Linked DNA regions of Coturnix japonica. The protein of the gene in region 3 binds, or shares a complex with, the protein of the main gene of each other region. Links are inferred from orthologs where the notes say so. Each region holds a gene or a part of one and is shown on either strand. Other genes may lie near its edges.

The links.
Region 1: SNRPD3 (region 3) and SF3B5 share a complex: the UniProt entries of both Homo sapiens proteins name them as parts of the minor spliceosome. The link is inferred for Coturnix japonica from reciprocal best matches to the Homo sapiens genes SNRPD3 and SF3B5.
Region 2: SNRPD3 (region 3) and STRAP share a complex: the UniProt entries of both Homo sapiens proteins name them as parts of the SMN-Sm complex. The link is inferred for Coturnix japonica from reciprocal best matches to the Homo sapiens genes SNRPD3 and STRAP.

Annotation. Positions count from the first base shown.
Region 1 is NC_029518.1:41,251,599-41,254,150, reverse strand, and holds SF3B5 (splicing factor 3B subunit 5), read left to right. Parts: upstream 1-1,411; 5' UTR 1,412-1,464; coding exon 1,465-1,725; 3' UTR 1,726-1,947; downstream 1,948-2,552. UniProt on the Homo sapiens protein: Component of the 17S U2 SnRNP complex of the spliceosome, a large ribonucleoprotein complex that removes introns from transcribed pre-mRNAs.
Region 2 is NC_029516.1:57,773,456-57,777,010, forward strand, and holds the end of STRAP (serine-threonine kinase receptor-associated protein), read left to right. Parts: coding exon 1-112; intron 113-807; coding exon 808-957; intron 958-1,518; coding exon 1,519-1,584; intron 1,585-2,073; coding exon 2,074-2,135; 3' UTR 2,136-3,012; downstream 3,013-3,555. UniProt on the Homo sapiens protein: The SMN complex catalyzes the assembly of small nuclear ribonucleoproteins (snRNPs), the building blocks of the spliceosome, and thereby plays an important role in the splicing of cellular pre-mRNAs.
Region 3 is NC_029530.1:7,447,964-7,451,720, reverse strand, and holds the start of SNRPD3 (small nuclear ribonucleoprotein Sm D3), read left to right. Parts: upstream 1-939; 5' UTR 940-1,056; intron 1,057-1,334; 5' UTR 1,335-1,358; coding exon 1,359-1,484; intron 1,485-2,169; coding exon 2,170-2,359; intron 2,360-3,262; coding exon 3,263-3,324; 3' UTR 3,325-3,757. Other genes in the region: protein GUCD1, read right to left, coding at 724-934. UniProt on the Homo sapiens protein: Plays a role in pre-mRNA splicing as a core component of the spliceosomal U1, U2, U4 and U5 small nuclear ribonucleoproteins (snRNPs), the building blocks of the spliceosome.

The DNA.
Region 1 (2,552 bases), on a different chromosome or scaffold from region 3:
CCCACATAAATACGTTAATTTATTGTCCTTATTTAATTTCTCTCACAAGAGATCTTCATTCATTTTAGGCTACCACAACTTCCAACAATTTTTTTGCACTATTGTACTTGCAGAATAAATGAATATGGTTAAGAATAGAGGAATTTCTTAAATATATATATATGTATATATATATATATAAATGACACCCTTCATTTCATCACCTGTGTGGGCTTTTATTGCAGTTATCGTTTAAAGTAATCCTTTCCCCTTTTTGGAGGGGCAGCTATGTCTTTTTCATTCAAAGAGCCTACAGGAAACGTGAAAACACGGCTATACCTTGAAGGGGACAGTCACTACCACCCTCTATTGGTGCATCTGCCTCATCTACTCTGTTCCTTTTGATCTTGCAGCAGAAACCCACAGCTCCCGTGCAATGAGTACGGAGTCGGTACAGCTCTGACACCCAGCGGCCACTTCACTCTCGACCGGCTCCTGAATTCCAGACAGTTTCAAACTCGGCTTTGACTGATTGTTGCTTAGAAGATAGATAGTTTAGGGTATTATATTGTTTTATTGTTTTGACACTGCTTTGCATGGCCTTGGCTTCATAAGATGCTCATTTATGAAGAAGCGGCCTTGAATCATCTGGATTAGATTTCCGTGGGTTTCTTTGGACTATACAGCATTTACAAAGAAATAGCTTGAAGCATCCTCTCAGAAAATTGCTGGCTACGTGTCTTTCCTATTTAAAAGCAAATAATTAAAGTCAGCACTCCCATGTGACAGCATGTATTGTTCCACACTTATTAAATTTAACATGGATTTTAAAACTAGAGAAGAAAAACTGCTTATTTGATGAATAATAGAATGTATTTCATTCCCAACTTTGACCAAGTTTGATAGGTGATACAAATTATAATTTACAAGTTTTATATCTGATTATTCTATGATCAAGAAAGACTACTTATTTGATGAATCATAGAATGTATTTCAGTCCCAACGTTGACCAAGTTTGATAGGTGATACTAATTATAAGTTTTCTATCTGCTCATGAGTTTAATATCCACATGAAATATTACCCACATCAACAAAAGAAAAATAATTTCCAATGGTAACATTTGATCCTAGCTTAAACATAGCCCTTGTGCCTGCCCAGCTGCAAAGTTTGCCTTTGCCCACAGAATCATTAAGGTTGGAAAAGACCACTAAGGTCAAGTCCATCCATCAGCCCATCCCTGCTGTATCACTATGTCCCTCAGTGCCACGTTCAATTGGCTCTTGGACACCTCCATGGTCCAACATGTCCAATCTAGGACTACACCCCCCGACATGCCTTTATAAACCCGCATATTCTTCCCCCCCCCCCCCCTCATCCGGGATAGTCGGCGAAATCCCCCCCGCTCTCCGTTATGGGAGCGGAAAAGGATCCCTTCGTCCTGTGGCGTCATTTCCTGCCGCCATTTGACTTGCAGGGGCAGCGCCATGACGGACCGCTACACCATCCACAGCCAGTTGGAGCACCTCCAGTCCAAGTACATCGGGACGGGCCACGCCGATACCACCAAGTGGGAGTGGCTGGTCAACCAGCACCGCGACTCGTACTGCTCCTACATGGGCCACTTCGACCTGCTCAACTACTTCGCCATCGCCGAGAATGAGAGCAAGGCTCGCGTCCGCTTCAACCTGATGGAGAAGATGCTGCAGCCGTGCGGGCCGCCCGCCGACAAGCCCGACGAATCCTAACCCGTTGCCCTGCACACCGGCTCCGGGCTGGCTGTGACTCCACACGCCGCGGGGAGATGGTGGGAGCCGCCCCGATCCTCGTGTCCACCGAAGGGAGCTGCAGGGAGAAGGAAGCTCTGTGTAACGCCCTCTCTTGGACACTTTCGTTACGCTCAGTTGCACGGCTGTTCGCCCTTTGTGGTTTTTTTTTAATGGGAAATAAAATCCGCTGTCTGTTTCTAACGTGTTGTGTGGTAATCAACAATAGCAGGACACGGGGAAATGGTTTTAAGTTAAAAGAGGGAAGATTTAGGTTGGATGTTTGGGGGAAGTTTTATTCCTAATGGAAAATGTCAAAGTAAAGCCTGGCTAAGGTTGTATGTGAGTTTACCAGTGGCTTTTTTGAAGTTGGTGACCTCAGAATTTCTGAGCAATAAACGCCTCATACTCTTTACCAAGCCTTATAATCTAAGCTGCTGAAGATGCTGCAGTAAGAACAAGTGCATGCACTCCTGAGGTCACATTCAAGCCATAATATCCATCTGAAGAACTCAGGAATAGATTTTGTTGTTGCATGTACTACAATGAGGGCAAAGATGAAATGATCCTGAATCAAATGTAACCTGCTACATATGTGGGGACTAGTGCTGTTTGCAAGCCATTGTAAACAATGTGAGCAACAAGTGTAAGGCACATGGGCAGAGCTGAACGCCTCCTTCCTCCAGGCCATCTCTATTATATGAGCAAGGCTGCTTTCAGGGAGAAGTCTGAGTTTTGGCTGAGAAATTTGGCTTTCCACTGTGATCTCCATCTCATTTTCCTAAATTTATGTAGTTTAATCTCAGATA
Region 2 (3,555 bases), on a different chromosome or scaffold from region 3:
GCACCTGCTACAATCAATTCTGCATCCCTTCACCCAGAGAAAGAATGTTTGGTTGCAGGTGGTGAAGATTTTAAACTCTATAAATATGACTATAACACAGGAGAAGAATTAGGTATGTTTGACTTCAATAATAAAAAACAAGTTTTGACAAGTATTAGATAGATGATGTAGCAGCTAATGAATTAAACTTGTAGAGCATGCTGTGCTGCGAACTTATTTGAGTACAAGATAATGGAAAGGTATGTAGTCAGTTAAGAGGATTTGTCCTTTGATAGTATACCTGATGTTACTCTTGAAGATCTAATTAAAACCTCCACTAAACAGCTCTGCAGCTACTGGGGGGGGGGAGGGAAAATGTTGAGTCATCCCATGCTGCTGCAATAGCAAACTATATGTTAACTTAAATGTCGTACTGTGGCATTCATTAATTATGTCTAATGAGTCACAGTTACTGGATTGTATTTTAATGCTAGCCATGTAAAATTTATTTTAAAGTGTGTTTTAATCTGTTGCTCCTATCTTCATTTAAAATTACGTAGATGAATGCTCAGTAAGCAGCTGAAGAATGTTGGCTTGTTTTGTAATTTTGCCTGTAATAATGAAATGCTTATCTTCTTGCATCTAATTCAGATAACAGTAACGCTTTATTGAAAGTTGTGGGGATAGCAATTATTAGAAATATTGTTTTGTATCAAAAATAAAGTACTAGGGAAGTTCCCCCGATCCATTTTTTCTTCTCCTTCTAATCAGTTTTCACTCATTTATTTGTGCTGTTGAAATTATTGGCCTCAATATGTTCTCTTACAGAATCTTACAAAGGGCACTTTGGTCCAATTCACTGTGTGAGATTTAGCCCTGACGGGGAATTATATGCCAGTGGCTCAGAGGATGGCACACTAAGGCTGTGGCAGACAACAGTAGGAAAAACCTATGGTCTTTGGAAGTGTGTAGTTCCTGGTAAGTGTGTGTTTTTTGTTTTTCCTGGTTTTACTTGGCTGTTTCATTCAGAAATCTTAACAGTTTGAATTCAGTTTCAAACATCATCTGAACTTGTTACGGTATCTCTGCTGTCATTTGGTATCTTCATAGCCACTCAGGTCTGCTGGATTTAAGGTTTTACTTCTGTAGCTGTCACTTAAGCAATTTAAATGTGAGCTTAATGAATATAGGCACTTGGTAACAAATTGCTTGTGTAGTCTCAAATCTTCATGTTATAGAGCAAGAAGTATGAAATAATTTTGTGAATACTTAGGATATAAGAATTTGGTGGGGAGGGGAGTATATAAAATTTCTCTGTACTTTCTCTAGTATTTTTGGGGGGAAGGAGCTCAGGGGGAAGCAGTACTTAGAAAACTGCAAACGAGTAATAGTTGATAGAATTGGTAACCCAGCTTTTTCTCCTCAACACTAAACAACTGAGGTTCTTGGTTTTTTTTCTGGGTTTTCAGAGTGAAACCCAATTTTCACTCTGGTTTGAGCAGAAGTGAAGGGACTAACCATTTCTTTTCTTCTCTACAGAAGAGGAGAATGCAGAAGCAGCAAAAGCAAGGACCAGCCTTCCAGGAACTGCAGAGGAGGAAATAGGTAAAACATTGAACTGCCAGCTTCTTTAGCAGGGAAGAGTTAACTTTTACCAAGTACCTTCAGGCATTTTTCATTCCTTGAAAGATCTTTGAGCGTGTTTTGACACTTAGCACACAGTTTCCTAGAAAAATACTGACTTGAGCTGTGTGATCTTCATCATCATCATAGTCTCATAGTCTCGTGCGGGTAGGAAGGGACCTTAGAGATCATCGAGTCCAACCCCCGAGATTTGAGTTTCTGTGTAGCACAGTGGCACTTCTACCACTTGCGCCACAGGGGGGATTCGAACCCGGGCCACAGTGTTGCAAAGCAGCATTCCTACCTCTGAGCACACTTGCAAACTTCCTACCGGGGCACACTTGCAAACTTAACAGATATGGTAGAACCTGAATTGGGTTAAATGGAAAAGAAAACTAAGCTGGTCACTGCACATAACTGCAGCATTCTTTGGTTCATGTACATAAATTGATTATCTCTATTTCATTGCAGAAGAAGTTGCCTCTGAAAACTCAGATTCAGTGTACAGCTCAACTCCTGAAGTCAAGGCGTGATTATCTCAACTGTTATGCAACGTATGGACATACAAGACTAAATCAAGTGAGCAGTGATAAACAGCAGCCTTCCAGAGTGCACTCTCTACATAAGGCAAAGATGGGCAGTAATTGACGAGAATGCAGTGGAACTGGCTAGGTGTTGTCTGTAAGAGAACTGAGTATCCAAAAAAAAGACAAATAGTAGAGTTTTGCTATCTTTTTAGCATGACTGTCTACTGTCTTTTGAAAGAAGTGTGCAAGCCAAGATCCAGTCTCTCCAATTTCAATTAGACTCATTGTAGTGCGTTTTTCTTTATTACGGAGAAAGAAAAAAAAATATGGCTTTTACCCATTATTTTTTTTTTTCCCTTTAAAGTTGGAAGATTTGGCTTTAGTTGAAAAGAGGATTATGTACTAAAAGTATTCAGTTTTTGTTTCATTGTACACTGCTTCTGAATGTTTAACTGTTTTCAGTTATCTAAATAAAATGCCTCTCAAAACTCTTAGCTTTACTGTTTAGCATTGGGTTCATGGAATGGAAAAGCAGCCAAGTTAAAGGTATAATACTTTCTAGCATCTGTTTTTGTATTATACAGAGGGAAAGCAATAAGAATGTTTTAGTGTTTGGTCTAGAGAGTGGCAAGTTTCTTGATATGTAAGCCTTGCACATTTTACTCTTTAACTTTTGAATGTAAAAGTGAGTCTCTAAATCAAAAGCATTGAGGACTCCTAAACTAAATGTACTGACTGAAATATGGGGCTGTACATGAAAATCTCAGAGGTTGGCTGAGTTTGTAAAGAACCTTGGGTTTAGTTCTGTAGACTGGATAAAAAAAAAGTTACACACGCAAGGTCAAAACCCATACTTTCATCATTAAAGAGAATATTGCCATTCTTCTGCTTGTCACTGTTCCTTTAATTTTAATGCTGAAAGACTTAAATAAGTTGCTTTTTTTGGAAAGGAAAGGTAATATATAAACACATGTTCATATACTTCCCTGATTTTTTTTTCATGTTAAGACTTGTCCTTAATCTGACTCTTTCCCCAGTGGCATCCAGTAATGTTAGAAGAAAGCTTACGCTTAATGTTTGAAAACCTTACTATAAATTGAAACCGAGGTTCCTATGTCTATGCGTATATATAAAGTCCAAGCATAAAAAAAAAACCCACTTTCTCAGTGAGGGCAGCAAAATGCTGGAAGGGGTTGGTTGCCTGCAAAGGCTGTAGAGGCTTTGGTGTTGAAGATGCACAGAAGCCACCTGGACATGGCTCCAGGGAGCCTGCTGCAGCTGAGCCTGCCTGCATTGGGGGCCTGGACTTAGTCTTTGAAGCTTGCTTCCAGTCTTAATTTCTTCTGTGGAAGTGGGAGGAATAAACAAGGAAAATAAAGAAGGATAAAATTAGTATTGATTTCTTGGTATACAGTGGTAATATTAA
Region 3 (3,757 bases):
GCCCAGATTGCTTGATGGACTGAAGTGCTTCCGCTTGGCATTGTAACTTCAAAGACAATCCAAGTGAGTTAATCATAAAAGGCTTTTCTTAATGACTTTACCTTCGATCTGGTACAGACCCTTGGAAACCTTTGCTAACACAGAGTCAGCTCTGCTTTCAGATGGGGATAAAAAGCATTCAGCATCCTGGGGGCTGCTGCAGTTTCAACACAGCTTTATATGTAAAACTTTATGGACAATGTCTTGCAGTTTTAAACTGTTTTCTCACTGAGTTACGGCTTATTGCAGCAACAACGCGGTGCACTTTCTCAATCACGTCACTGGGTTTAATCATAACTTTGAAAGCTGGCACACACCCATTGGTGTACTCAGTGTTTGTTAGCAATGTTGATTATACTTTAGAAGGACAAACAGCCCCTCAAATCCCGCTTGAAGGAAGTAATGTAAGCATTGGCGGTGTGTTATGAGCTGTGTTATGAGCAGGTCCATTCTCTGTTACCATCCAGGGCCTTCTAACACCACAACTCACTGTGGATGTCCCTGTTCTCCATACACTATGACTTCAAAGGTAACAACCAGGCCCAGCGCTGCCCGCTTCTCATCCCCACCCCCAACAGAGCTGTCACGGCCCGACCCGCGGCTGTAAACAAGGCGGAGCACTCTCAGCTCCACCAAGTGCTTGACAGGCCGCCCCCGATCCGAGGCCCCGGAGCTGTCACTGACCTGCCTGCGGAGGGGGCTCCCCCGGCTCCCGGGGGCTCCTCATGACGGCGGCCGCCCGCTCACTACCCGCCCCGCCGGACTTAGGGCCGCGCCATGCCCTGCTGCGGCGACGGCTCCTCCCGGCTGCGGAGGGGGCGGACCCCGAAGCGGCTGCTCGGAGCTGGGAGGGAGGGAGCTGCCTTCGGGAGGAACAAAAGTGCAGCGGAACCATCGTGATAAGGCAGCGAGACCCTGAGGGACAGGAGCAGTAGCAGGATCCGCTCCTGTGCCCTTCCGATTCCGGGGCTCTGTGCACGGCGGGAAGGCGGCGGCCATTAGGGTGGTTGGTGGGAGGTGAGTGTCGGTGGGGGTTTGTTATAGGGTCGGTTTGTTATGGGGTGGGTCTGTTGTGGGGGTTTGTTATGTGCCTGCAGCTTCGTAGGGCGGCAGATGTGGGCTGAGAGGGTGGGCTGCCCTCAGCCTTGGGCCGGGCCTTGGGATAGGCGTGTATTGCCAAAGCACTGAGGCCTTTGTTCAATGGAGCAAATCGGCTCCTGTAGGCAAAGCCGAACTGCAGAACGACTGGGAGTTTGTTTCCTTTATTCACTTCTATGTTGTGCTCTCTGTCCCAGGAGTAGAGCCGCAGTGTTGCAGCCATGTCCATCGGGGTGCCCATTAAAGTCCTGCACGAGGCAGAGGGCCACATTGTGACCTGCGAGACCAACACTGGGGAGGTGTATCGTGGGAAGCTCATTGAGGCTGAGGACAACATGAATTGCCAGGTAAAAGAAGTTTATCTCATCTGTTTGGAAGTGGTTGCACTCAGCAGACTGACAGCGGGATTTAAAGACCTTTTACTTTTAGTCTTAGGATAAATAAAGCCCTTTTACTCTGTGCACTTACAGTAATGAAGTGAATTCCAGATTACTGAGCACACCAAATTGCTCAGAATTGGGATTTCCTGTTCCTGGTTCCTCTGTGAGCACCTTCTCTTCAGCAGTTCTTTGTTTATTGCCTGTTGATAATAAATAAACTCTAATTTATGAGCTTAGAGCTGTGCTTAATGCAGAGGACTTTAAGGCATTGCAATAGCCTTAATTTTGATAACTTCATGCAAGTTGTAGTTGAAATAAAAATGTCCTTAATAGCTGGGACCAGTAAAACTTTATTTAAACTATCTGAATAAGAAAACAAAACTAATAAAACTAATTAAGCAAGTGGGGAGGAGGGGAAAATAGTGAGTTTGCTTAAATTTTAGCAAGCTTTAAGACTGTGTTTAAATGGTTATAGATGCCTTATATAACAATAACAGTTGAAGGCTGTATGCTTGATAGGGCTTTGAGTTTATTACTTGAATCTTGGCTATATATATATTCCATGAGCAGGAGTAGTGGGAGTACAAAACTATGTTTAAGGCCACTTAAAACAAACTGTGTTTGAGACCACTGTCTGATCTTTACTTTCCAGATGTCCAACATAACAGTGACATACAGGGATGGGCGAGTGGCGCAGCTTGAGCAGGTGTACAGAGGCAGCAAGATACGGTTTCTCATTTTACCAGATATGCTGAAGAACGCTCCTATGCTAAAGAGCATGAAGAATAAGAACCAGGGCTCTGGAGCTGGCCGAGGAAAAGCAGCTATTCTCAAAGCTCAGGGTGGGTACAGTGTGTTTGTGGTCTGGTGTTCCCTCTTTACCTTCCTGTTTTGCTGTACAGAAACTGAGATGTTTTCATCCCTAACACTAAGCAAAGATGAGCTGTAAGAAGCTGAATGAGTGACAGCAGTCAAAACTCAGACTGATGCACAATACTGATACTGCAGATAGTTCAGGAACAGTAAGTGGCCTTGCTAGAGTTAGGTAAAACTTCACCTTTGGTTTTCTGTAAATGTGGTTGCTGCCTGTTTGGATTACCCAAAGTATGATGATCTAAGTATTCTTAAGCTTAAAAAATATATATTTATATATATATTTATATATATATATATATATATTTATACATACATATATATATACACACACACACACATATACGTACACTTGGTTGATACTTTAAGTTTTTTAAATGAGTAACTGTTAGCCATTCTGCAGTTCATCCTCTTTAATACCTTTTTTGTGTGAACAGTCTCGTTATAACAAGATCAAGAAATAATCATGGGCTCTGAAGCCCTTGGTTAACTCTACCAAATGCAGTAAGGATGTGTGGGGGAGTAACATCTGACAAAATATAGCGAGTTCTGTCACGCTGTATGAAGAGCAGGAGGTCTTAAATCTCTCTGGCTACAGATTCACACAATTTAAAGTAGGAACAATGGTGTGTTACTATTTCATTGCTCTTAATGCATACTCTGTTATGAATAGCAAAGCTGTGTAGTTGTTAGTTACAGTTGTTTTCACAGAAAACTTCTATTTACTTTTATCACTTCCCAGGCCTCATACTGTAGCTTAACTTCTGTGCTTCTAAGGAAGAGACTGAGAGTTATTGATGTTTGGTTTGTCACTTGTTGAGATAAATGTGTTGCATCAAATTCATGTCATCCCTGATGTTTTCTTTCTTCAGTGGCTGCAAGAGGAAGAGGCCGTGGTATGGGTCGTGGCAACATCTTCCAGAAGCGAAGATAATTTTGGTCTTGACCAAAATGCTTTTTTTTTATTATTATTATTAAAGGGGCTCTTAACTTGTCTACATATATGTTGGTAACTTCTGTTTAATAAATGTTTCTGACAAAACCCTGTCTGCTGTTATATGACAGAGCTCCTCTTAGGCACAATAGAGTTCTGGCTTCTTTCTGTAGCTGGCAAATACGTTGGAGGTGGATTTCAAAGTGCGTTGTCTAGAAAACAGTGGACATGGATTTGATTTCTTTGTACTTTTGTGTGATGCATTGAGTTTCAAAGATCATCTTGCTTCCTTTTTGTTCAATACTGCTGTAATTTACCCTCTAAAGAGTTAGAAGTTATTCTTCATGAAGAATTTTTAATGTTGTTTTAAGGTTGTGTTATCACCTGCATTTACAGAGCAAACAGTCAAACTGAGGTAGCTCCTAGAGAAGCT